Linked DNA regions of Arabidopsis thaliana. The protein of the gene in region 1 interacts with the protein of each later gene in a pairwise test. Each region holds a gene or a part of one and is shown in the gene's direction. Other genes may lie near its edges.

What was found.
Region 2: the proteins of AT5G58720 (region 1) and AT3G09630 interact in a two-hybrid assay, tested with the Arabidopsis thaliana proteins (one large-scale study listed by BioGRID).
Region 3: the proteins of AT5G58720 (region 1) and AT5G02870 interact in a two-hybrid assay, tested with the Arabidopsis thaliana proteins (one large-scale study listed by BioGRID).
Region 4: the proteins of AT5G58720 (region 1) and AT5G61330 interact in a two-hybrid assay, tested with the Arabidopsis thaliana proteins (one large-scale study listed by BioGRID).

The regions. Positions count from the first base shown.
Region 1 is NC_003076.8:23,719,195-23,725,168, reverse strand, and holds AT5G58720 (smr (Small MutS Related) domain-containing protein), read left to right. Parts: upstream 1-1,993; 5' UTR 1,994-2,194; coding exon 2,195-2,834; intron 2,835-3,023; coding exon 3,024-3,049; intron 3,050-3,173; coding exon 3,174-3,260; intron 3,261-3,356; coding exon 3,357-3,427; intron 3,428-3,748; coding exon 3,749-3,975; intron 3,976-4,228; coding exon 4,229-4,305; intron 4,306-4,378; coding exon 4,379-4,435; intron 4,436-4,519; coding exon 4,520-4,587; intron 4,588-4,672; coding exon 4,673-4,779; coding exon of another isoform or gene 4,780-4,835; exon of another isoform or gene 4,836-4,899; coding exon 4,900-4,970; coding exon of another isoform or gene 4,971-5,060; exon of another isoform or gene 5,061-5,064; coding exon 5,065-5,193; 3' UTR 5,194-5,474; downstream 5,475-5,974. Other genes in the region: Mik (pfkB-like carbohydrate kinase family protein), read left to right, coding at 1-729, 1,366-1,542; ROC7 (rotamase CYP 7), read right to left, coding at 5,674-5,812.
Region 2 is NC_003074.8:2,951,862-2,956,254, forward strand, and holds AT3G09630 (Ribosomal protein L4/L1 family), read left to right. Parts: upstream 1-1,831; 5' UTR 1,832-1,951; coding exon 1,952-3,058; intron 3,059-3,469; coding exon 3,470-3,583; 3' UTR 3,584-3,877; downstream 3,878-4,393. Other genes in the region: AT3G09620 (P-loop containing nucleoside triphosphate hydrolases superfamily protein), read right to left, coding at 1-347.
Region 3 is NC_003076.8:655,748-660,319, forward strand, and holds AT5G02870 (Ribosomal protein L4/L1 family), read left to right. Parts: upstream 1-1,927; 5' UTR 1,928-2,082; coding exon 2,083-3,192; intron 3,193-3,665; coding exon 3,666-3,779; 3' UTR 3,780-4,053; downstream 4,054-4,572. Other genes in the region: AT5G02860 (Pentatricopeptide repeat (PPR) superfamily protein), read left to right, coding at 1-814.
Region 4 is NC_003076.8:24,656,597-24,663,178, reverse strand, and holds AT5G61330 (rRNA processing protein-like protein), read left to right. Parts: upstream 1-1,937; 5' UTR 1,938-2,843; coding exon 2,844-2,859; intron 2,860-2,947; exon of another isoform or gene 2,948-3,058; coding exon 3,059-3,156; intron 3,157-3,240; coding exon 3,241-3,545; intron 3,546-3,892; coding exon 3,893-3,965; intron 3,966-4,097; coding exon 4,098-4,172; intron 4,173-4,249; coding exon 4,250-4,360; intron 4,361-4,470; coding exon 4,471-4,513; intron 4,514-4,597; coding exon 4,598-4,676; intron 4,677-4,828; coding exon 4,829-4,931; intron 4,932-5,016; coding exon 5,017-5,112; intron 5,113-5,225; coding exon 5,226-5,258; intron 5,259-5,362; coding exon 5,363-5,462; intron 5,463-5,588; coding exon 5,589-5,673; intron 5,674-5,765; coding exon 5,766-5,892; 3' UTR 5,893-6,082; downstream 6,083-6,582. Other genes in the region: AT5G61340 (uncharacterized protein), read left to right, coding at 36-1,115; CYP89A3 (cytochrome P450, family 89, subfamily A, polypeptide 3), read left to right, coding at 6,541-6,582.

The DNA.
Region 1 (5,974 bases):
TCTAATGTCTTAGATTCTTCCTCTGTCTCCTGCGATTTGGTCTCCAAAGTAGGACACGACTTCAGATACGAGGTCACCCACTCTCCGATCGTGGCTCCGGAGAAGGAAACAACAGTTTTCGAGGCGTATTTCGATCTGGGAATCGATGGGATCGGTCATGCTGATCGGGTGTTGAAAAGAGTCTCTGCATGTGATCCGATTCTTCCTTCGGATATACCCGATTCGAGATTTGATTTCGGAATGGCCGTTGGAGTCGGCGGCGAGATTTTACCGGAGACGCTTGAGAAAATGGTGGAGATCTGTGACGTTGTTGCTGTGGATATTCAAGCTTTGATTAGGGTTTTTGATCCTGTTGACGGAGCTGTGAAGCTTGTTGATTTGAAAGAAAGTGGATTTTATCACATCTTGCATCGAATTGGATTCTTGAAAGCTTCGTCAGACGAAGCTCTTTTCATGGATGTTGAACAAATGAAGCACTTGTGTTGTGTGGTGGTGACTAATGGTGAAAAAGGGTGTAGGATTTATCATAAGGATGATGAAATGACGGTTCCTCCGTTCTTGGCGAAGCAGGTGGATCCTACCGGTGCCGGAGACAGCTTTCTCGGAGGTTTGATTGTTGGGCTTGTTGAAGGTTTGACTGTTCCTGATGCTGCATTGTTAGGGAACCTCTTTGGTTCCATCACTGTAGAGCATATTGGTCAGCCAAAGTTCGATTTGATGATGCTTCAGGTTTGTTTTTTGGTCTCGTATTAGCTTACTGAATTGCATGCTGTGAGAGATTTGCAAATCTAATAGACAGTAGTAAGAACTTTTAGAGCCGATGATAGTGATATGCAAATGTCTTTAACATAATCCTAGCAAAAGAACTCTGTTACATCTTGCAGCTTACTTTCAATACAGCCAAACCTATATCTTGCGGGTGAACTAGAATCTGTATTTGATGTTGATAGGTTTCCAATCTGAAAATGTGTCAAATCTTCACAGTTGTTGTTTGAGATTCTGTCGAGTCACAGCTGCTGAGAGAGTCTTTTCTTGTTTTACTTCATTGTTAATCTAGGAGCAGTTTCATTCAACATAGGGTAGATGCAGGAAAAAGTGTTGTTTAAGCATTCACCGAACAATGTGGTTAAGCAATTAGAGAATTCAAAAGTATGGATCTCTTGATGTATTTGCGAGTGTTTCTGTGTATCTCTTGTAGTTGTATCTGTTGAAATGAGGGCGTTATTGGATAATAATTGAACCATTGGCTAGTGCAAGTGAACATTAAGCAAATTAGAAGATTTATAGCGTTTGTGTTTGCACTGCACAAGGATTCATCCCTTTCATCGGTTATTTCTATGTGACATATGTCTTTGTGATTTGCAGAAAGTCAAGGATGAGGTACAGAGAAGGAAGAAGCAGTGTAACATATCTAGCAGCCATAACAACGATCACAACGAGTTCCATGAGCGTCTAAGTCCAGCTCGGTTTTCATGCGTAGACTCTCAACTTCAACCAAAGTTATTGGTCAATGGTCACTCTTGTGATGATCGGTCCCTGTGAATACGAATCTTGAATCACCTTTTTTTTACTAACAAAGCTCTTCTGAGTTGTGTAAGCTTGCTTCAACACGTTGATGAATTTTGGAAATTTTAATGTATAAAACGCGTTGACCAGCGTCTTCAAACGCTCTTTCTGGTCGTTCCCGCAAAGTTTGTTTATCAACTCCGCGTTTCAAAATTCGAAATGAAGATGTCAAATTTTGTTTTAAAAGTTTTGGATAAGATGATTTGCTATTCGCATGTTGCCACATTATCTAGTTAATATAAAAACCAAAAACAAATCTGAGATAAAATTACGAAAGTCAACGTGGGAGATCTAATTTTGACTGGTGCATAGTTGAACCGGTTCAATATATGTACAATCAGGAGGAAACCGTGTTCGGTGTTTGATTCGTGCGCGTGGATTTAAAACGTGGTCACGATCAGGCGCGTGGATTGACGTGGCGATTCCGATTCCCAATCAAAAGTCTGGACGAGCAAAAAATTTCCTCTGATATTGGCATCTCCATTACTAACTCCTGATTTACGGTTAAAACGCCTCTTCCCTCTCTCCGACGCTTCTCGTCGGAAATCTGGGTTTAAGTTTCTTCTGCAGATCGGAAGAGATTCTATTGAAGCGGCGTTGACACGATTTCATCTATAATTGTACGATAATGAAGCAGAAGAACCAGCATAAGAAGAAGAAGAAGCGATCCTGCGCCGCGAAACCTTCCGGTGATGGAACGACGTCGGACGGGAACAAAAAAGATGTGGAGGAAGAGAGGAAGGACGGTGAAGGAAAGAGGGAGATAGAAAACGTTGGAAAAAATTTTATCGAATCGTTAATGGAAGCCTTTTGCTCGGTTTCAATGGAGGAAGCGATGGCTGCTTATAAGGAAGCAGGCGGAGATCTGAACAAAGCCGCTGAGATTTTATCGGATCTGGTGGAAAGCGGTGATGATCCGTCGACGAGTTCGGTGGCGAGTGGTTCTTCGGGTCAGGAAACAGCGTCTACCTCTGAGTATGGGGCAGGGTCAAGTTCTAGCTGTAGCGAAGATTTGACTAGAGATAGATGGTTTAAGGGAAGCAAGCAGAGTAGAGTTATTGCTGCTACAGGGATGGTTTCTTCTGTGATTGCGAAGGATTACTTGAAGCCAAACCCTGTGCGAAAAGAGTTTCCTATGATGGAACGGTCTAAAGAGCTCTGTGGGAACGGGAAAAAAGCTGCGGATAGAGAGAAAGCTGAACAGTTCTTAAGTTCAATGCTTGGAGATGATTGCGAGCTTAGCATGGCTGTTGTTAGAGATGTTTTGTGTGAGTATTTCTTCTTCTTAGTCAGTTAATTTTTCCATGGGAGAAGATGTTAGTAGAAAAGTATGATCCTTAATAGTTATAGGATTACGTTTTAATGTGTCCGCGATATTCGAAATATAGCCGTAATAATGTTATGAGGAGAGACTAGATTGTTCGATGAATTGACATGGAAGTATCTATTTTTTGTAGGTCAATGTGGCTATGATGTCGACATGGTAAGCAGAGATTGTCTTCAAACTTACATGGGGAAGTATTTAGTATATTGACAGGGAAGCTCCTGAAATATGCTGATACTTGCCCGACTATTTATTTTAAAGCTTAATAGCGTTTTCTTCTTAGGCTTTGAATGTCTTGCTTGACATGTCTTCTTCATCAACTGATGATTCATTGAGTGGTAAATGTTTCGGCATAGGAGTCAGCGATAGTGTAAGTGATTGTTTTTTTTGTTAATCTTCATAGATCTGTTTATTTTGTTTTCTTACACGATAAAATAAAGTGCAATCTCCTGACATTATTTAACAGCTGGCAGAGTCATCTTTTGATACTGATACTTCTGATTGTGAACTTTTCTGGGGTGGAGACTATAGTCAAAGGTACTTCTATTTGCTTCTTAGGCTTTCATCTTGTTATTGCAATTCACTGATTTTGGAATTATCAGAGTTGATTTACACGTTAGTTACAAGATAACGAGCTCTCTGCAACCTCTCCTTATCTTTTAATTAGTCCTTATCCTCTTCTATGAAAGAACAACAAACGAACTATTTCATGGTGGAGGATTCAGTTCATGAACACATGATATCTAAATTACTCATGAGACCGCCAAAACTTACATTATGATTTCTTAATTTCAACATTGTGGACGAGGTCAAAACTAAATATCTGGCCTTTTTTTCTTTTCTTTGTCTGAATGGTAGGGACTACGCAAAAGCTCTCATGAGTTCTCAAGATCCTTTTGCAACTACCCAAGGAATTGATGAGCTTGGTCTTCCACAAAAAGTGTTGGAGTCTCTGTTCAACATTCGCCAGAATCCTAAACATGAATCAAAGACAACGAGTTGGAGGAATGTGGCAAAGAAAATGCAGTCACTTGGCATTGATGCTTCTTCATCTAGTGGGGAAGAGCCTCACCCTAATACGTTTGGTACTTTACTATGGTTTCTTGATTTTAGTATTTGCGTATATAGCTGCAAATAGCATGCTCAATTTGCCATGAGTTTGCCGGCTTCGAGCTTCTGATGTATGTTGTTTTACCTGATGAAACACTTGGCAATTTTTGCTTTGGTGTCATTGGCATAAACATCTGAAGTTTTGACTGCTTGTTTGTGTTGCAACTCTTGAATCAATCTTTCTTACTCATGAATTGCATTACCAATCAATCAGTACGTGTGTTGCAGTGAAGGATGACAGTTATCATGAACTTAGAAAAGGTGCAAATGACCAGTGGAATGTTACGAAGTCCTACTATCAAAAAGTTAGTTTTACTTGCTTCCATATATCTGGCTCTGGTAGACTCCTCAACTAATGCATTTATTAATTGGTTTAAGGCTGCCGAAGCATATTCGAAAGGAGGGAGGGCTCATGCGGCTTACCTTTCTGACAAGGTGCATATCACGGTTTACATATATCATGGTATCATGGCATTTTGTTTGACAGTATGACAGAAACTTGTGTTGTTTTTCTTTTAGGGAAGAGTGGCATCTAAACAAGCTCAACGGGCTGATGAGAGGGCAAGCCAAGATATATTCGTTGCAAGGTTAGCTGTTTTGATGCATTATCAAAGTATGCTGATGCGCTTAAACATTTTGTGGTGGACTAAGCCATTGTTTATGACTATGCAGAAACAAAGGTATAGAGAATGTGGTAACCATTGATCTGCATGGTCAGCATGTTAAACCAGCAATGAAGCTACTGAAGCTACATCTCTTATTTGGATCATATGTTCCTTGTGAGTACTTAGCAAACTCAATTATAAGTCTTTTCTTCTTTAGTAGATCATCATAGTCAGATCTTGTCATCATAAAACCCGAGATAATACCTTCCTCCTAACAATTGTGAAATCATCCAGCCATTCAGACTCTACGAGTGATCACAGGATGTGGAGCTTCTGGGTTTGGGAAGTCTAAGGTGAAACAATCAGTAAGTTTCTTCAACGCCCTTTCACAGCAAAACCGGAGACAAGAATTTAGTATTGCAGTCATGGTATATGATTGTTATTTATGGATATGATCAGGTGGTAAAGCTGCTAGAAAGAGAAGGAGTTAGGTATTGTGAAGAGAACAGAGGGACACTGCTGATCAAGCTTGACGGAGGTAGTAGAGAGTTCAGTTTCTTAGACACAGAGAGTGACTCTGATGAATAAGTGATAACTAAAACTAAAGTCAGGTTTTAGCTTTAGATCTTAAAATTTATGTCGATTTTGTCTATATCTGATGCTAGCTCTCTGTTGTTAAGTAAATGTTGGGCAAAACTTAGCTTCCTTCTTTTTCCTTTCCGTATTTCACGTTATTTAAGTTCTGAAAACACTTTGTCTGACACAGACAGAATGTATATTTTTCGCTAACTCTTCTTTAGGAGTTTACTGATATATATATTATCGTGTAACTTCTATAAATTCTACAAATGTTGACAATGCAAAACGGCATAAGTGCAGAATTTTTGCTACTGAAAGACATTTGTGTATAAAGTCAGACATAGCTCGAGCTAGAAAGCAGACGAAAGAAATAAAGCCGGTAGAATCTTTCATAAAGTAACCAAGACACTCGTTTTAACACAAAAGTCATCAAGCACACTAGAGCTCACATCAATGGATGATCAGATGGAGAAAACTAGAGTTGTTGAGTTACAGGGGAAGCTCACCACTGTCTACAATCACCACTTTACTCTTAGGAGTTCCACTCTGATTTCCTTCAGCTTCGACTTTGTACACCACATCCATTCCTGTCACTACCTTCCCGAATACCACATGTCGCCCATCCAACCTGCAAACTTTCTAATCAGCAGACGGAAACAACATATCGACAATTCTATCCATAATTGAAACTCTTAAGCTTAGAAAGTAGTAACCTGCCCACACAATTGTCAAACAACTTGAAAGTAAAAGATAAGAAACTGGCTTTATGTGTTTGAAATTCAGATGATTC
Region 2 (4,393 bases), on another chromosome or scaffold:
CAATCCTCACGTGACCTCTCCTTTTTCTGTTTCTTCCTACCCTTTTCTTTCTCACGTTCTCTCCTCTCTCTGTCCCTTTTCAGATATTTTCCTCTATCTCTGTCACGTTCTCGGCGTCCTCTTCCCTTGTCCTCCCCTCTGCGTTTACTATCCCTCTCGTATTCTTCTTCTTCAAAATCGCTACTTTTTCTATCCCTCCGTATCCGTATCCTCTCCTCTTCCTCAGAATCGCATCTCTTAACTCTCGAGCGCATCTCCGTCGTATCTCGCCGACCATTCTCTTTCTTACTGCGATCACGATCTTTGCGATCATTTTCCTTCCTGGACTTAGATTTCTCTAACATCATCTCAAACGCAACAAATCCCGATAGAAAATTCCGTAACTTAAACCCAAATTCAAATCAAATTCATCCGCCAAACAAAAGCTTCAACGATAACCCTAAAAATGTTGCGGTGAAGAAGACAAAGCTACCAGAAGAATCAAAACTCTCTACACCGTAACGTTGTAACGTCTCGTTAGTGTCGAGTAACAGAGATAATAAAGCTGTAAGGTTGGGCCCTTATTGGTAAAAGATAAAAGTGAAAACCAGTTATTGGGCTATTTGGGCTTTAGTTAGGTCCACTATTAATCGATATTTTCCTCATGGGCTTCTAAACAACATCGCAAGGTTATTCTATTCAAAATAATTATTCATTTCGTTGATTTCATCTCATGAATGATTTCCTATTATTTATAGTTCATTCCCCAAACCACTCGCATCACAGGCGCGTTGAGCACGTGAGGCTAAAATCCATGGACTATATAACCTTCCTTTTTGGGGATTTTTTGCATAAATTAAAAACTGAGAGGACCTGCAGCGCGTGGGTTGGGATTTCATTTGTTGTGACTACAATTTTTTTTTTTTTTCCCCCAAAGGTCTTTCTGTTTATTGACTTTTTATCATAAGATAAAACGTTACAAAATGGGTTAAACCTATCTAGGTGATTACAAAATTTCAAAAATTGAAACTAAAAAGGCCTAACCCCAATAAAAGGATATCAAACCCAACTTGAAGAGAGGCATTGAAAGCTAAAAGGACTGGACCAAAAACCCAAACGACTACAGTATTCACATGAAAATATAACCAAACGAAAAGAACTATTACCGTGTTTTATCTTTTGCTCAGATTATGGTCCGAAAATATTGTTATCGATTCTTGATTTAGATTAAAAATGAGATAAAACTGTAAAGATTTTCTGAATATTTTGAGGTGTGCATTTTAATAGAAAACGAAGCCGATAGTGAATACACCGAGTTTGATAACTTCACCAAATGACTCGGTGGCAGTGCTAATCAGTAATATCTCACCTGCTTAGGAGCACTTCCATATTTAGGAAAAGAATATGATTTGAAATATTTTGCCATTCAAGATCGAGACTAAAGATTATTTGAACTATAAAGCAAATTTTCACTCTTTAACGCTCCATTTCGTACATTACTTTGATCATTTTTCTTTTTATCTATTTTTTTCGTCGACCGTTTTCTTTGACGATGTTTGTTATATGATTCTAAAAGCATCCACAATGGTAGACTCTTAGCAAAACTCTTAACAAATATTTAAAAAATTATATAATTTAAATATTAGATAAATCTCTTAAATTTGGTAAAACTTAGGTCAATTGTCTCTTAGTTAAGAGACAAATAGTCGGGTTTTATTAGGCCCACTAGTTCGTTAAAGGCTAAAGCAGTGCCCGGTTCTTATAGCGGAGGTAACTTTAAATATTGGGCCCTTACTGAAAGGTAAATTAGTTGGGTTTATTGGGCTTTATTATAAGGCCCACTAATTCAGCAGTAACCCTAACGAAACCCTAGCATATATTAGTTCTTAAACTTCAGCTGAGAGAAAACCCTAATTTCTCAAAGAGTCTAAAGAGACGGAGAGTGAGAGAAGAGAGAAACATTTCGAGACAAATGGCCGCCGCCGCTGCTCGTCCTCTCGTCACCATCCAAACCTTGGATGGTGACATGTCCACCGATCAATCCTCCACCGTCGTACTTCCCGACGTCATGACGGCGCCAGTTCGACCAGACATCGTTAACTTCGTTCACGCCCAAATCTCCAACAACAGCCGTCAGCCATACGCCGTATCGAAGAAGGCCGGTCACCAGACCTCCGCCGAGTCCTGGGGAACCGGACGTGCCGTGTCTCGTATCCCTCGTGTTCCCGGTGGTGGTACTCACCGTGCTGGTCAAGCTGCGTTCGGTAACATGTGTCGTGGTGGTCGTATGTTCGCTCCAACCAAGATCTGGCGCCGCTGGCACCGTCGTGTCAATGTCAACATGAAGCGTCACGCAATCGTCTCAGCTATCGCTGCAACTGCTGTTCCTGCGCTTGTGATGGCTCGTGGTCACAAGATCGAGAATGTTCCTGAGATGCCTCTTGTTGTGAGTGACTCCGCCGAAGCTGTGGAGAAGACCTCAGCTGCGATCAAGGTTTTGAAACAGATCGGTGCTTATGATGATGCTGAGAAGGCAAAGAACAGCATTGGAATCCGTCCTGGTAAAGGTAAAATGAGGAACCGTCGTTACATTTCTAGGAAAGGTCCTCTGGTGGTTTATGGAACTGAAGGATCTAAGATAGTTAAGGCGTTTAGAAACCTTCCTGGTGTTGAGCTTTGTCATGTGGAGAGGCTTAATTTGTTGAAGCTTGCTCCTGGTGGTCACCTTGGTCGGTTTGTGATCTGGACCAAGTCTGCCTTTGAGAAGCTTGAGTCTATCTATGGTTCGTTTGAGAAGCCATCAGAGAAGAAGAAGGGGTATGTGCTTCCTCGTGCAAAGATGGTGAATGCTGATCTTGCCAGGATTATCAATTCAGATGAGATTCAGAGTGTTGTGAATCCGATCAAGAAGGATGCGAAGAGGGCTGTTCTTAAGAAGAATCCATTGAAGAATCTCAATGTGATGTTGAAGTTGAATCCTTATGCTAAGACCGCGAAGAGGATGTCACTGTTAGCTGAAGCACAGAGAGTTAAGGCTAAGAAGGAGAAGCTCGCCAAGAAGAGGAAAACCGTTACCAAGGTAATCTCAATACTTGACTTGTTCTCTTATCAACCGTTTTTGGATTGTCTTTGTTTAGTTACTGATTACATTTTGATCTGTGGTTGCATTTCATTTGACTTAACTTATATTGCAATTGTTCTAATTGACTGAGTTTGTGTATGTTAAGCTATACAATAATCTGTTCCCCTCTGGTTTAGTCTATGACTATAGTAGTCTTTCTTTACTAGATCTTACCTTTTCTGTTCTGAATTGTGGTCTAGTAGTTTGTCTTGTAAATCTGTTGTGTACGATTCTTTGTCTTGATATTGATTTTAGGTTGAGCTATTAAGCAATTGAATCTCTTAGCACTTTCTTGTCCCTTGTGAAAATTGTTCTTCATATGTCCTCTTTTCTAACTCCACTTTGAAATATCTATTTTTCTTACATCAGGAGGAGGCGTTGGCAATCAAAGCAGCAGGCAAGTCGTGGTACAAGACTATGATCTCCGACAGTGATTACACCGAGTTTGATAACTTCACCAAATGGCTCGGTGCTAGCCAGTAATAATCTCGTCTGCTTTGGAACACTTTCCATATTTTAGTCAAAAGATTTTGGTTTTTTTAATCTGTTTTGTCTTTGGGTGTCTGGATATCAAGTTGAATTATGAACAAGTTTCACTTTTTTACATCTCCATTTCTTACTTCGCCTTTATCAGTTTCATTTATTTATCTCTTGCTCCTTCGTTTCCTATGATGATGCTTGTTATGTTATGAACCTACTTAAAAACAAGCTGAAGCTTTCTTTGGTTTACCCCAGCAGAAACATTAATCAAGTTCAATTGATCAATATGTCGATTGATTTACTGTTTAAAGGCATAGTGTGTCTATCAACCCTTAAGTCTTTTTGGTGGATAGTGAAGCTCAAACCCAATTCAAATGTCGATCAACCCTAACGTTTTTGTGCTCGATAGTAAAGCATGAGTATAAAAAGAACGTCGCTTCTTCCTACAATCACACAGATCATTTGAAGCTTTGATTAGTTGGTACAACATACTCGAGGAATACAGAATGACACGTGGTGTGTATCTGTTGGATAAATTTGTATTATTCTTCTTTACTATGGATGGTTTCTGGAAGGCGCGCCAAGAGTCCTTCTTTTTCCATCTACAAATCATGACCGTCCATCTCCAAAAGAAGACTGAAACAGTGAAACTAGAAGCTTCATTTTGATCATCAGCCAGTTTTATAAATTGATCCGTATACTAAAGTAACAACTACTAGCACTTTCTTCTGTGATCGATCATTGTGTTTAAACTAAAGGTTTGTATGTTCTTGTAATCTTATTGATCTCGATAGGTTCTCCATTCTCTTTAGG
Region 3 (4,572 bases), about 23 Mb from region 1:
GATGGAGGATGGTCGGTGCAAACCAAATGAATTAACTTACTGCTCTCTACTTCATGCATATGCAAATGGCAAGGAGATTGGTCTGATGCATTCTCTAGCAGAAGAGGTTTATTCTGGAGTTATCGAGCCTCGAGCTGTGCTTTTGAAGACCCTTGTCTTGGTTTGTAGTAAGTGTGATCTTTTGCCAGAGGCTGAACGTGCATTCTCTGAGCTCAAAGAAAGAGGGTTTTCACCAGACATAACCACATTAAATTCCATGGTCTCCATATATGGAAGAAGGCAGATGGTGGCAAAGGCGAACGGAGTCTTGGACTACATGAAAGAAAGGGGTTTCACACCAAGCATGGCGACCTACAATAGCCTCATGTATATGCATAGTCGGTCTGCAGATTTCGGAAAATCAGAGGAAATCTTGAGGGAAATACTGGCTAAGGGGATCAAGCCAGACATCATATCGTACAACACAGTCATTTACGCCTATTGTAGAAATACTCGGATGAGAGATGCATCTAGAATATTTTCAGAGATGAGGAATTCAGGGATTGTCCCTGATGTTATCACCTACAATACGTTTATTGGTTCTTATGCAGCTGACTCAATGTTTGAGGAGGCCATCGGCGTCGTTAGGTACATGATCAAGCATGGTTGTAGACCAAACCAGAACACCTACAACTCCATTGTCGATGGATACTGCAAGCTAAACAGGAAAGATGAGGCAAAACTTTTTGTCGAAGATCTGAGGAATCTTGATCCCCATGCTCCCAAAGGCGAGGATCTTAGGTTGCTGGAACGGATAGTGAAGAAGTGGCCATAGATAATTGTTGATGAGAAACCTCACAGTAAACTTGTCAAACCCTGACTTCAGATCTGCTGTAAGTGTTAATTTTTATCATAACTTTCATGCTCGTTGAGCATGTGAGGCACCTTTTTTTCTTTTCTTGTTTGTACTTGAGAGAGAAAAAGTCCCACTATTTGCCTTCAAATTTAAATAAGGATAAACTGTTAGAAATAAGAATATTTCATTGTTAGTGTGTTACATCTGTAACCATTCCAATGACTGAAGGAGTATTGTTGCCCTTTGTGAAATATGTAGACACATCAACTGCTGACTTCTGGACTGATTTCAATCTAACTTTAAAATAGTCTGAACACTTTGTTGCTGCAGAGGAAGGTCCTAAACACTTAAGCTCGTAGCTGTTAGTGCAGGATCCGTGGTGAAGAACTCAACAAGTGATATATCTTCTTGGTGACTCATAGTAAGAATTATCTGCATAAGAGCTTCAATGTTTCTCAGCTCTCACTGTAGTTACCGTCTCACATGATCTTAAACTTGATAGTAAGAATTGTCTGTGAATCGGATTGTATTGACCATAACTGTTAGAATCTCAGCGTAGCTGCTATAAGCCTGATCATGTTCTCGAAAGAGTTATTATGGCTCTTACCTAATGGCTATTTGATTTCTGCATTAGGTGTATCGTGTCAGATGCTTCTCACGGTTGTTGTCTGAGAAGAACATAACTGAGGCGTCACACACAAGAGGGACATACGGCAGTATCGGTCAAAACCAGTTTTTCCGGGGAATGGTATATATATATATATATGAGTCAATGTGTCTAGAAAATGGTTACCAATGGTATTTTCTTTTTGATATTTGTTCCTGTGTTTTGTACTTTCTCTGATTTGGTTATCTATTTAACCAAAAGCAATGTAACACAGCTAGCAAACCAAGGCAGCTAACAGTAAATGCCAACGTCCATGTTATTGTCTCGAGCCTTTTTGTTGTTCTTATTGTCAATAACCAATATCCCTAAACCCGGTTAACAATAGTCGGGAAACCGAACCGTATTGGTGGATCCTATCAAATCAAAGCAAACCAGAACAGATAAACGAATTGAACCAAATCAGAGCTAAACCGAAAAAATGCAACTTGAAATTCTGCTGGACCTACATTGGGCCTTTCGGCCTGTATAAATTTCCACAATTTACGGTAATACCCTTGTAAGAAACCCTAAGTAATAATGATGTGCTTTAAAAGCGCACAGCCTCACTTCCAAACCCTTCGTTTACAGCAAAAAATCGAAAATGGTTGCCTCAGCCGCCGCACGACCTCTTGTCACCGTCCAAGGACTTGACGGTGACATGAGCACCGATCAATCCACCACCGTCACTTTACCAGACGTCATGACTGCTCCAGTTCGACCTGACATTGTCAACTTCGTCCACGCCCAAATCTCCAACAACAGCCGTCAGCCTTACGCAGTCTCCAAAAAGGCCGGTCACCAAACCTCCGCCGAGTCCTGGGGAACCGGAAGAGCCGTGTCACGTATCCCTCGTGTTCCTGGTGGTGGAACTCACCGTGCCGGTCAAGCAGCGTTCGGAAACATGTGTCGTGGTGGTCGTATGTTTGCTCCGACTAAGATCTGGAGACGCTGGCACCGTCGTGTCAATGTCAACATGAAGAGGCACGCGATTGTTTCTGCAATCGCTGCTACTGCTGTTCCAGCTCTTGTGATGGCTCGTGGTCACAAGATCGAGAATGTTCCTGAGATGCCTCTTGTTGTTAGCGACTCAGCTGAAGCTGTGGAGAAGACATCAGCTGCGATCAAGGTATTGAAGCAGATCGGTGCTTACGACGATGCGGAGAAAGCTAAGAACAGTATTGGAATTCGTCCTGGTAAAGGTAAAATGAGGAATCGTCGTTACATTTCTAGGAAAGGTCCTCTTGTTGTGTTTGGAACTGAAGGAGCCAAGATTGTGAAAGCTTTTAGGAATCTTCCTGGTGTTGAGCTTTGTCACGTTGAGAGGCTTAACTTGTTGAAATTAGCCCCTGGTGGTCACCTTGGTAGGTTTGTGATTTGGACTAAGTCTGCTTTTGAGAAGCTTGAATCTATCTATGGCTCGTTTGAGAAACCATCAGAGAAGAAGAAGGGTTACGTCTTGCCTCGTGCGAAGATGGTGAATGCTGATCTTGCTAGGATTATTAACTCCGATGAGGTACAGAGTGTGGTGAACCCGATTAAGGATGGTTCCAAGAGAGCGGTTCTGAAGAAGAATCCATTGAAGAACCTTAATGTGATGTTCAAGTTGAATCCTTATGCTAAGACCGCAAAGAGAATGTCTCTGTTGGCTGAAGCTTCAAGGGTTAAGGCTAAGAAGGAGAAGCTCGAGAAGAAGAGGAAAGTCGTCACTAAGGTAAACTCAATGCTCTCTTTTCTCTATGCCTGTCTTTATAACTTGAGTGTCTATTGCATATGGTGGTGATATAACATACACAAATTCCAAAGCTTTTGATTTAGATTGTGTTTGTTCATTACTGTGCTATGCATGATTCACAGTTAGTTTGAGTTTGGAAAAAAAAATTATGAAGTATTCTTATTGTGTTGACCTTGATGGAGTCATATGCATTGCAAATCAGTTGTGGTCTTTGATGTTATTTGGGAATGGTTCTTTGATTGTTTAAGATTGGTTTTGCGGTTACTCATATTCGTTTGTGTCATTTTCATTAACACTTCTGCTGTCCTAAACGACATGATTAACATGATTCAGTTCACTTGTGTACTCGAACCGCCAGCTTTATTGAGATTTTGTATAGTTTTTACTGGTTGCGTGACTGATCAAAAAGTTGTCTCTTTTCTTAATCTTATTTTTTTCCTTCTTTACTGTAGGAGGAGGCCCAAGCGATCAAAGCAGCAGGCAAGGCTTGGTATCAGACTATGATTTCAGACAGTGACTACACCGAGTTCGATAACTTCACCAAGTGGCTTGGCGCTAGTCAGTAATGATGCTCTCGTCATCGCAAAGTCTCTTATATCTAGGCAAAGATTTTGGTTTTCTGATTTATGTTCTTCGTTTGTATTGGATTTATCTGGGATTTTATGTTGTTGAGTTGGTAAGACGATTTTTAAGAACTATGATGGTGTTTTTCAAACTCTTTTCAATCTGTTTCCCTTAGTGCTCTTTACTCGCTATTCAAATTCCTCCATTTGAATATTTGATGATGATCATCTTATCAAACAAGCGCCATGAGTTGATAAGAATAACTGGAACTTCAACTTTATTAGTTATTGCACACAACTCTACACTCAATCGAATAATGTAGATAGTCCATCTTGACTCCAACCAATCGAAAATACGTGCCTCAGGCCCTTTAGTCCCGAACTATGTGTTGTCTTACTTCCACTGGAAAATTAAAAAAAAAAAAGACTTGAGCCTCAAGTTTTCTTATACAGTGGGATAAAATTATAAGCAGCCTTTGCTTGTATGTTGGGAAAGGTTGCTCTTTGACTTCGATCGATGACTTGAACAGATTTGTCCAACTTACAGGAATCCCTGTAACTAGTGCATTGTTTGGACTTGGCTCTTACCTTTACGACGACGATTTTTCCTTGCAAATGTTTAGAATTCAGCAGCAGGGGACGATGGTGTATGCAGATCACGCTTGACGCTTTGGAAAACTGCGATCTTTTGCTCGCTTTTGGGGTTGAAGGTAAGGCCTTCCGCCCTTCCCATTCCCTAGCAAAGCGAAAGCGAAAGCTAAAATTGTTCATATCGACATTGACTCATCAGCAATGT
Region 4 (6,582 bases), 940 kb from region 1:
AAAAATCATTACATATTTTATATACATATATATAGATGACCTGCATTGAGAAAACCCTTTCAAGATTTGGTGGATCATTCAAGAAACACACATATTCAAACTTCTCCAAAGAAAAGAAAATAGCAAAAACTAGAATGAAGAAGACAATGGAGGATCCAAGCAAGATCATGAGAAGGTCAATTCACACTTTCCTCCAAAACTACCACCGTGTCACCACCGCAGCCGCCGTGGCCCTCCCTTTCTCCGCCGGTCTCCTCCTCTCTCAGCCTTTCTTCTCTTCTTCCTCTTCCACCCTTCACATGAGGCTTAACATGCTCTTCCGCGGAGCGGGTTTCTCTTCTTCTCATGACTTCTTCAACATCTTAAGCCTTAAACTCTCACAAACCCTATCTTCCTCTTTATTCACTCTTCCTTTCTCCCTCACATTCCTCCTTTTATCCAAAGCTTACGTCATCAAACTTCTATCAAACAATCACTCTGCAGATTCCTCCTCTGTTTTCTACCTCCGGCTTCTCAAAACTTACGTTTGCAACTTCTTCTTCCTTCTCTCTGCAAACGCCTCTGCTTTTGCTCTGTTTTTCTTAGCATACAATACCCTTGAAGCCTTTGGATTCTCTTCAAGAAACTTCTACACTTTCCTCTCCCTATCCTCAGCAATCATCTACTCAATTATCATCGCAAACGCCTTTGTCATCTCTAATCTAGCCTTGGTTTCATCACCTTCTTCTTCCTCGGGAGGATACACAAACATCCTCAAGGCGTGTCTTCTGATTCGCGGAAGAAATTCAACAGCAATGGCTCTTGCTCTGCCTACCAATCTCGGCTTAGCAGGAGTCGAAGCCTTGTTTCAGTACCGAGTCATGAGATCTTATTACAATGGAGACAGAGATATCATATCCATAGCTCTTGAAGGAACCTTCATAGCTTACTTATACGCTCTCTTCTTGGTTCTTGACACCATAGTCAACTTCCTCTTTTACCAGAGCTGCATCAAAAACGAGGAAGATCAAAATATCGGTAGAGAAGACGAGTATTCAATCAAGATCCAAATCAGCGAAACAGAGAACACAAAGATACACATCAAAGGATCAAAGAACTTGCAAGAAATCTTGTGACTCTCTTGTGTTGGTTGATGTAATTATTACTTATACAAAAAAAGTGAAAAACTTTATGAGATTATTGATTCTTTAAGGATAATCTCAAGTAGCTTTCACTTCAAAGAAGAGCAAAGGTACACACACAGTAAAGAACAATCACAGGATCTGCAAAACTTTTTCTTCTTCCTCTGTTTCTGCTTTTCTTTATTTTAGTCTCTTTTTTTTCCACATTGTAAAGTCAAATATACCAGAAATTTTAATTAATGCAAATCTTGGAATTCACATTTGGTTAATCCTACAGTATAATTTCATTGCCGACAAAATATATTAATTAGCAATGATTTTGATTACTTCCTTAAGTTATGAAGATGTTGACTAGATTCACACTTTAACAAGAGTGAAGAGTCTTTTGTTTTTGAGCAAGGATAAGTTCAAGCAAAATCTTTCATTACAAAGAGAGAAGAAGAAATGTCACAATTATCTTTAAATAGACGGTAGAGGCGAAAGCAATTGAACTTTTTGTATTTTTCGTTGAATGAAAATCCTAATAATACATTGAAATTGTGTTAATGATAAAAGCTCAACTTAAAAAGACAAAAAATGGCTAGTGGGTGGTCTACATCACTAATCTCTCTACTTGAACCTCTTTAACAAAAAGCCCTTTAATACAATAGTTCAGTACTACCTAAAATTTCTTCTAATGGAGAAATTATGAATGAATCTAATTTACTTTTATAGGTTAAAAAGAGTGGAATCCGGAAATGTTGCATCTAAAGAGATCAAGAAACAATTAAGCACAAAAAGATGAATTTTATAACAAGCAAAATTTTGTAGCTTTCCAAACATACAAAACAATGTAATCATTCATGGTCCATATTTAGGAATTAGGATCAAGGGTTTATAATCCCAGGTCCGACCGACCGAATCGTATAATCTGGTCCTATCAAACCAAAATTAAAACATTTAAACCGGATTTTTGGTTGAACCGGCCGGTTCATGGGTTAAGCGAAACCTCTAGGGTTTTAATATTTCCAGAGTTGGTTGAGAGCTTCTTCTTACTTTTACTTTTCCTCTGCTCGTAGACAGCTTTGTGCTTGAGACGATTCCCAGTTTCTGCGATTCCAAGTCGAAGATATAACCTCTCCTATTTGCGTCTCAGCTTCTACAGAGCTTTTAGGTAAGCTCCTCTGCTTGTATGATTCCTTTTAATTTTCAAAATTCACTGCTTTCTCTTGCGTATCTGCTCAAAGTCTCTCCCTTTTTCATTTAATCGTTTCTCTTCCTGAAACATTCGAACTCATAAACTAGTTTGATTCAAAAGTTTTCTTGCTTTAAACTTGTGTTAGCTCTAGAATGTTGTTCTTTGTAATCTGTTTGTGACATTGTGGTGGAGATGATGAATGTTAAAGTAAAAGGTCTGAGCAGGTTATGAGTAAAGTGTGTGGCTTTTGATGTTTAATTTAGTTACGAGGAGTCAATCTTTGAACTTTATAGGAGAGGGCCCTTGTCCATGTCTTGAGCCATGGCATCTGTGGCTCCGCAACCTCTCCAACAATGAACCTGATTTGTGTGTGCAATCTGATGGGTCGATTTTTAAAGGCTTGGGGTTGCTTTCTATCATTGATTGTCAATCTAGAATTCTCCCTATATACATTTGTCTCCTTGTGCTTCCTTATCACCAATTAGCTACCCTCGTGATTCTGCACTGATCAAAGACCCTTTGACTGATCCACGTGAGCTGTTTTTATGAGATTATCTATAGGTCTCTGTTTTTTTTTTTTTTTTTTTTTTTTTTTTTTTTTTTTATGTTTGAAGCTTTTGACAAAGCTTGTTTGATGGTATGGTTACCTCATTGTTGCTCTATATTTGGTCCTTCTTTATTTGTTTCAATATTTTTATTGCTTAATCCACTGTATAATAGTTTCTCCTTCCTCAATTGAGTTAGTTTTTCGTGATTGCAGCATTAAAAGTTGTTAAAATGGCTGGGGGGTCAAAGAGGTCTAAAAGAGCAAGACTTGACAGTGAATCGGAAGACATAAGCGACCAAGAAAACCTTAAGGTATGTTTATGTTGCTTTTGTCTCGTTTAAGTTATTTAGATGGTATAGGTGAATTTATTTGGTTGAGGGTTCTCTATATTATAGGCCGAAAGCGACAATGAAGATGATCAATTACCTGATGGGATAGAGGATGATGAAGTAGATAGCATGGAAGATGATGAGGGAGAGAGTGAGGAAGACGATGAAGGAGATACCGAGGAAGATGATGAAGGAGATAGCGAGGAAGATGATGAAGGAGAGAACAAGGAAGACGAGGATGGAGAAAGCGAGGACTTTGAAGATGGAAATGATAAAGAGAGTGAGAGTGGCGATGAAGGTAATGATGACAATAAAGATGCTCAGATGGAAGAGCTTGAGAAAGAGGTCAAGGAGCTTCGTTCACAAGAGCAGTAAGATTTCATTTGAACTAATCATTTTTAAATACTGTTATTTCTAAGATAGTGAATTCTTGTATGTGTTTCTTTCTAGAAACGGTAGATAGTCGTATTAAAGTTTCAACTGTTTAATCTAGATCAGCAAGGATGTTGGCTAGATTTAGAAGTAGGTTCGAACTCATTATAGCAATTGGATTTATTCGTGATTAGTAGAAAATATATACGTTTAAAAGGAAAAGAACAGACTTTTGCCAAAAGTTTTTGTCAGATACTGTCTTAATTCGGTTGCATCATTTAATTTTAAATGAACGATTGAGAGGCAAAAGAATGTTCTTTGTGTAATATGCGTGTTCCTGGTATAGGGATATATTGAAGAACTTGAAGCGTGATAAGGGTGAAGATGCTGTTAAAGGTCAAGCGGTGAAGAATCAGAAGGTATGACCTTGTTCTGCGGTTTGCGAAGTAGTCTAACTAGAAATCAGTTGCAGTTGTATATTCCTATTTTATGTTAATGAAGTTGATCTAGAGCGAATTTTTGACAATTCTTTCTTTGTGCTCTATGTAAAGGCTCTTTGGGATAAGATTCTGGAGTTCAGATTCTTACTTCAGAAAGCATTTGATCGTTCAAACAGATTACCACAGGTAAGCTATGCTCTTCTCCTCTTCTATTTATGGTTGTTTGTTTCATCATACTTTATGACAGAAGGTACCCTTTTCAGGAGCCTGTGAAATCGTTATTTTGTTCAGAAGATGAGGATGTCTCAACAGCATATACAGATCTAGTTACTTCATCTAAGAAGACATTAGATTCCCTCTTGGAGTTGCAAGAGGTATGTATGCATAGGCTTGATTCAGTAATTGTATGCTGTCTCTTAGTGTTTTGTCGCTCTGCCACGTTTGTTGACTTTTATTATTATTATCTAAATATGGATTTCTACAGGCTTTGTTTGAGAAGAACCCCTCGGTTGATCAACAAGTGAATGGTATGCCATATTAACAGATAACATAATTATCATCACTATAAGCGAGGGTCAATATAACATCTCCTTTCTTTTTCTATCTGTCAGCAACAGCTAGTGAAGAATCCAATAAATCAGATGCAGAAGATAGCGATGAATGGCAGCGAATATCTGACTTGCAGAAAAGGTATTCAAGACTAAATGTTCAACTGTCCAGCTTTAAAGTTCTGTCCAATCAAAAGAATTCTGTTTAGTAAAGCATGATTGACTTCATTTGGAGACCAGTCTCATAACCATTTATGTTTCATCGTTAACACAAATTTGGTATTTGCTATGTAGAATGTCTGTGTTCCGAAACAAGGCTGTGGACAAATGGCAGAGAAAAACACAAGTCACAACTGGTGCAGCTGCTATTAAAGGAAAGCTCCACGCCTTTAACCAGGTATAGAAAGCAAACTCCGAAGATGATTTTGCTCTTATCTGGGGATCAATCAGGAATCTAACTTTAAATTAATTTTCAAAACCAGAACGTTAGTGAACAGGTTGCTTCCTACATGAGGGATCCAAGTAGAATGATTAAACAGATGCAACAATCAAGATCTACTGTTGCTGTTTTTGGAACTGTAAGTTTTTGCTTTGATAATAAAAGCATAAACCATCTAAGAATTTGGCCTTTGGTGGTCAATAGATCAGCTTCTCTTCAATTTTTCCTGACTTTAAATTTAAACATCCACAGGTCCCTCAGGAAGCCATGGAACCAAATCCAGAGGTAAAATCACGGTTTTCTCTAACCATAAAGAGTATAAACATTTAATCAATCTCATTGATTATCTTGATACCCATTCTCTAACATGTGTACTCTTTCTTGTCCAGGAAAAACAAGAAGAAGGAGACCCTGAACTTGTGGAAGATGCTGAGTTCTATAGGCAGTTACTAAAGGAGTTTCTCGAGACTATCGATCCAGCTTCCTCAGGTATAGTAAAGAAAAACATCCTAGAATCATTAGATATGAAACCCCCCCTAGCGATTGTTATGTCCAACAACTCAAGTGTAAAGAGTCTTTTTTATATTCTGAAATCTCAATATTTGCCATTGGCAGAGGCGGCTTTCTACGAGATGAAGAAGTTCCAGACGAAGAAGAGGAAAGTTGTGGATCGACGTGCCTCAAAGAGCAGAAAGATCAGGTAAATAAAACACACATAGTTTCACCTCTTGGAGGTTTTCTCTTCCCATAATTCTCTCTTTTGAATCATTTTCTTGTAAAAAATCGAAACAGGTATAATGTTCATGAGAAGATTGTCAACTTTATGGCTCCACGACCAGCGAAGATTCCTCCAAACACGGCGGATTTGCTTAAGAATCTCTTCGGTCTCAAGACCAGAAACGTTCAGTCTGAAGCTTAATATCAAACAAACCACAATTTTGAAACGCTGTAATAGATCGTCCCTTTTTCTGTGGTGTGTTGTAATACTACTATTGACACCGTTTCTATCGAAAGCCATATGTGAAAGCATCTAGTTAATTTTTGTTAAAATCCAAATGAAATTTTTGATTAACAACGAAACGAGTATTAAGTAACACAAGAGTTGGATGAATAATCTTCATTATGTAATTTATTTATCTACTTTTATTCTACTTGAAATCTTGATTTCTTTTCATTGGTTGGTGGTACTTGGTAGATATAACATCATAATTGAACTTGTCTTTATCTTCAAAAATAAAAAAAAATCACAAAAGTTCGATGATGTCACAAAAATTCATGTGGGTTTGTGGTTTGGAGTAATGAAGCTAAACGTAGCAAAGAGATCGTATAACTTTCTCCGGAGCTTGGTGTGTCGCCCAAGAAGCAAACAAATCGGATATATTTTCAATTATCCAAACTTATTTCTAAATTATCTGTCTTCCGAACTATAGATATATAAATAAAAACAGTTTATACTTGAGCGTCACGATAGCAAATTGTTATCTGAAGAATTTGCTATATATACGAATTCAAGAGGAAGAATCCTAAAAGCATAACAAAAAAAAAGCAGAGAAAGAATACAAGAAAAATGGCGACATGGTTTCACATCTTCTGCGTCTCTTTCACAGTC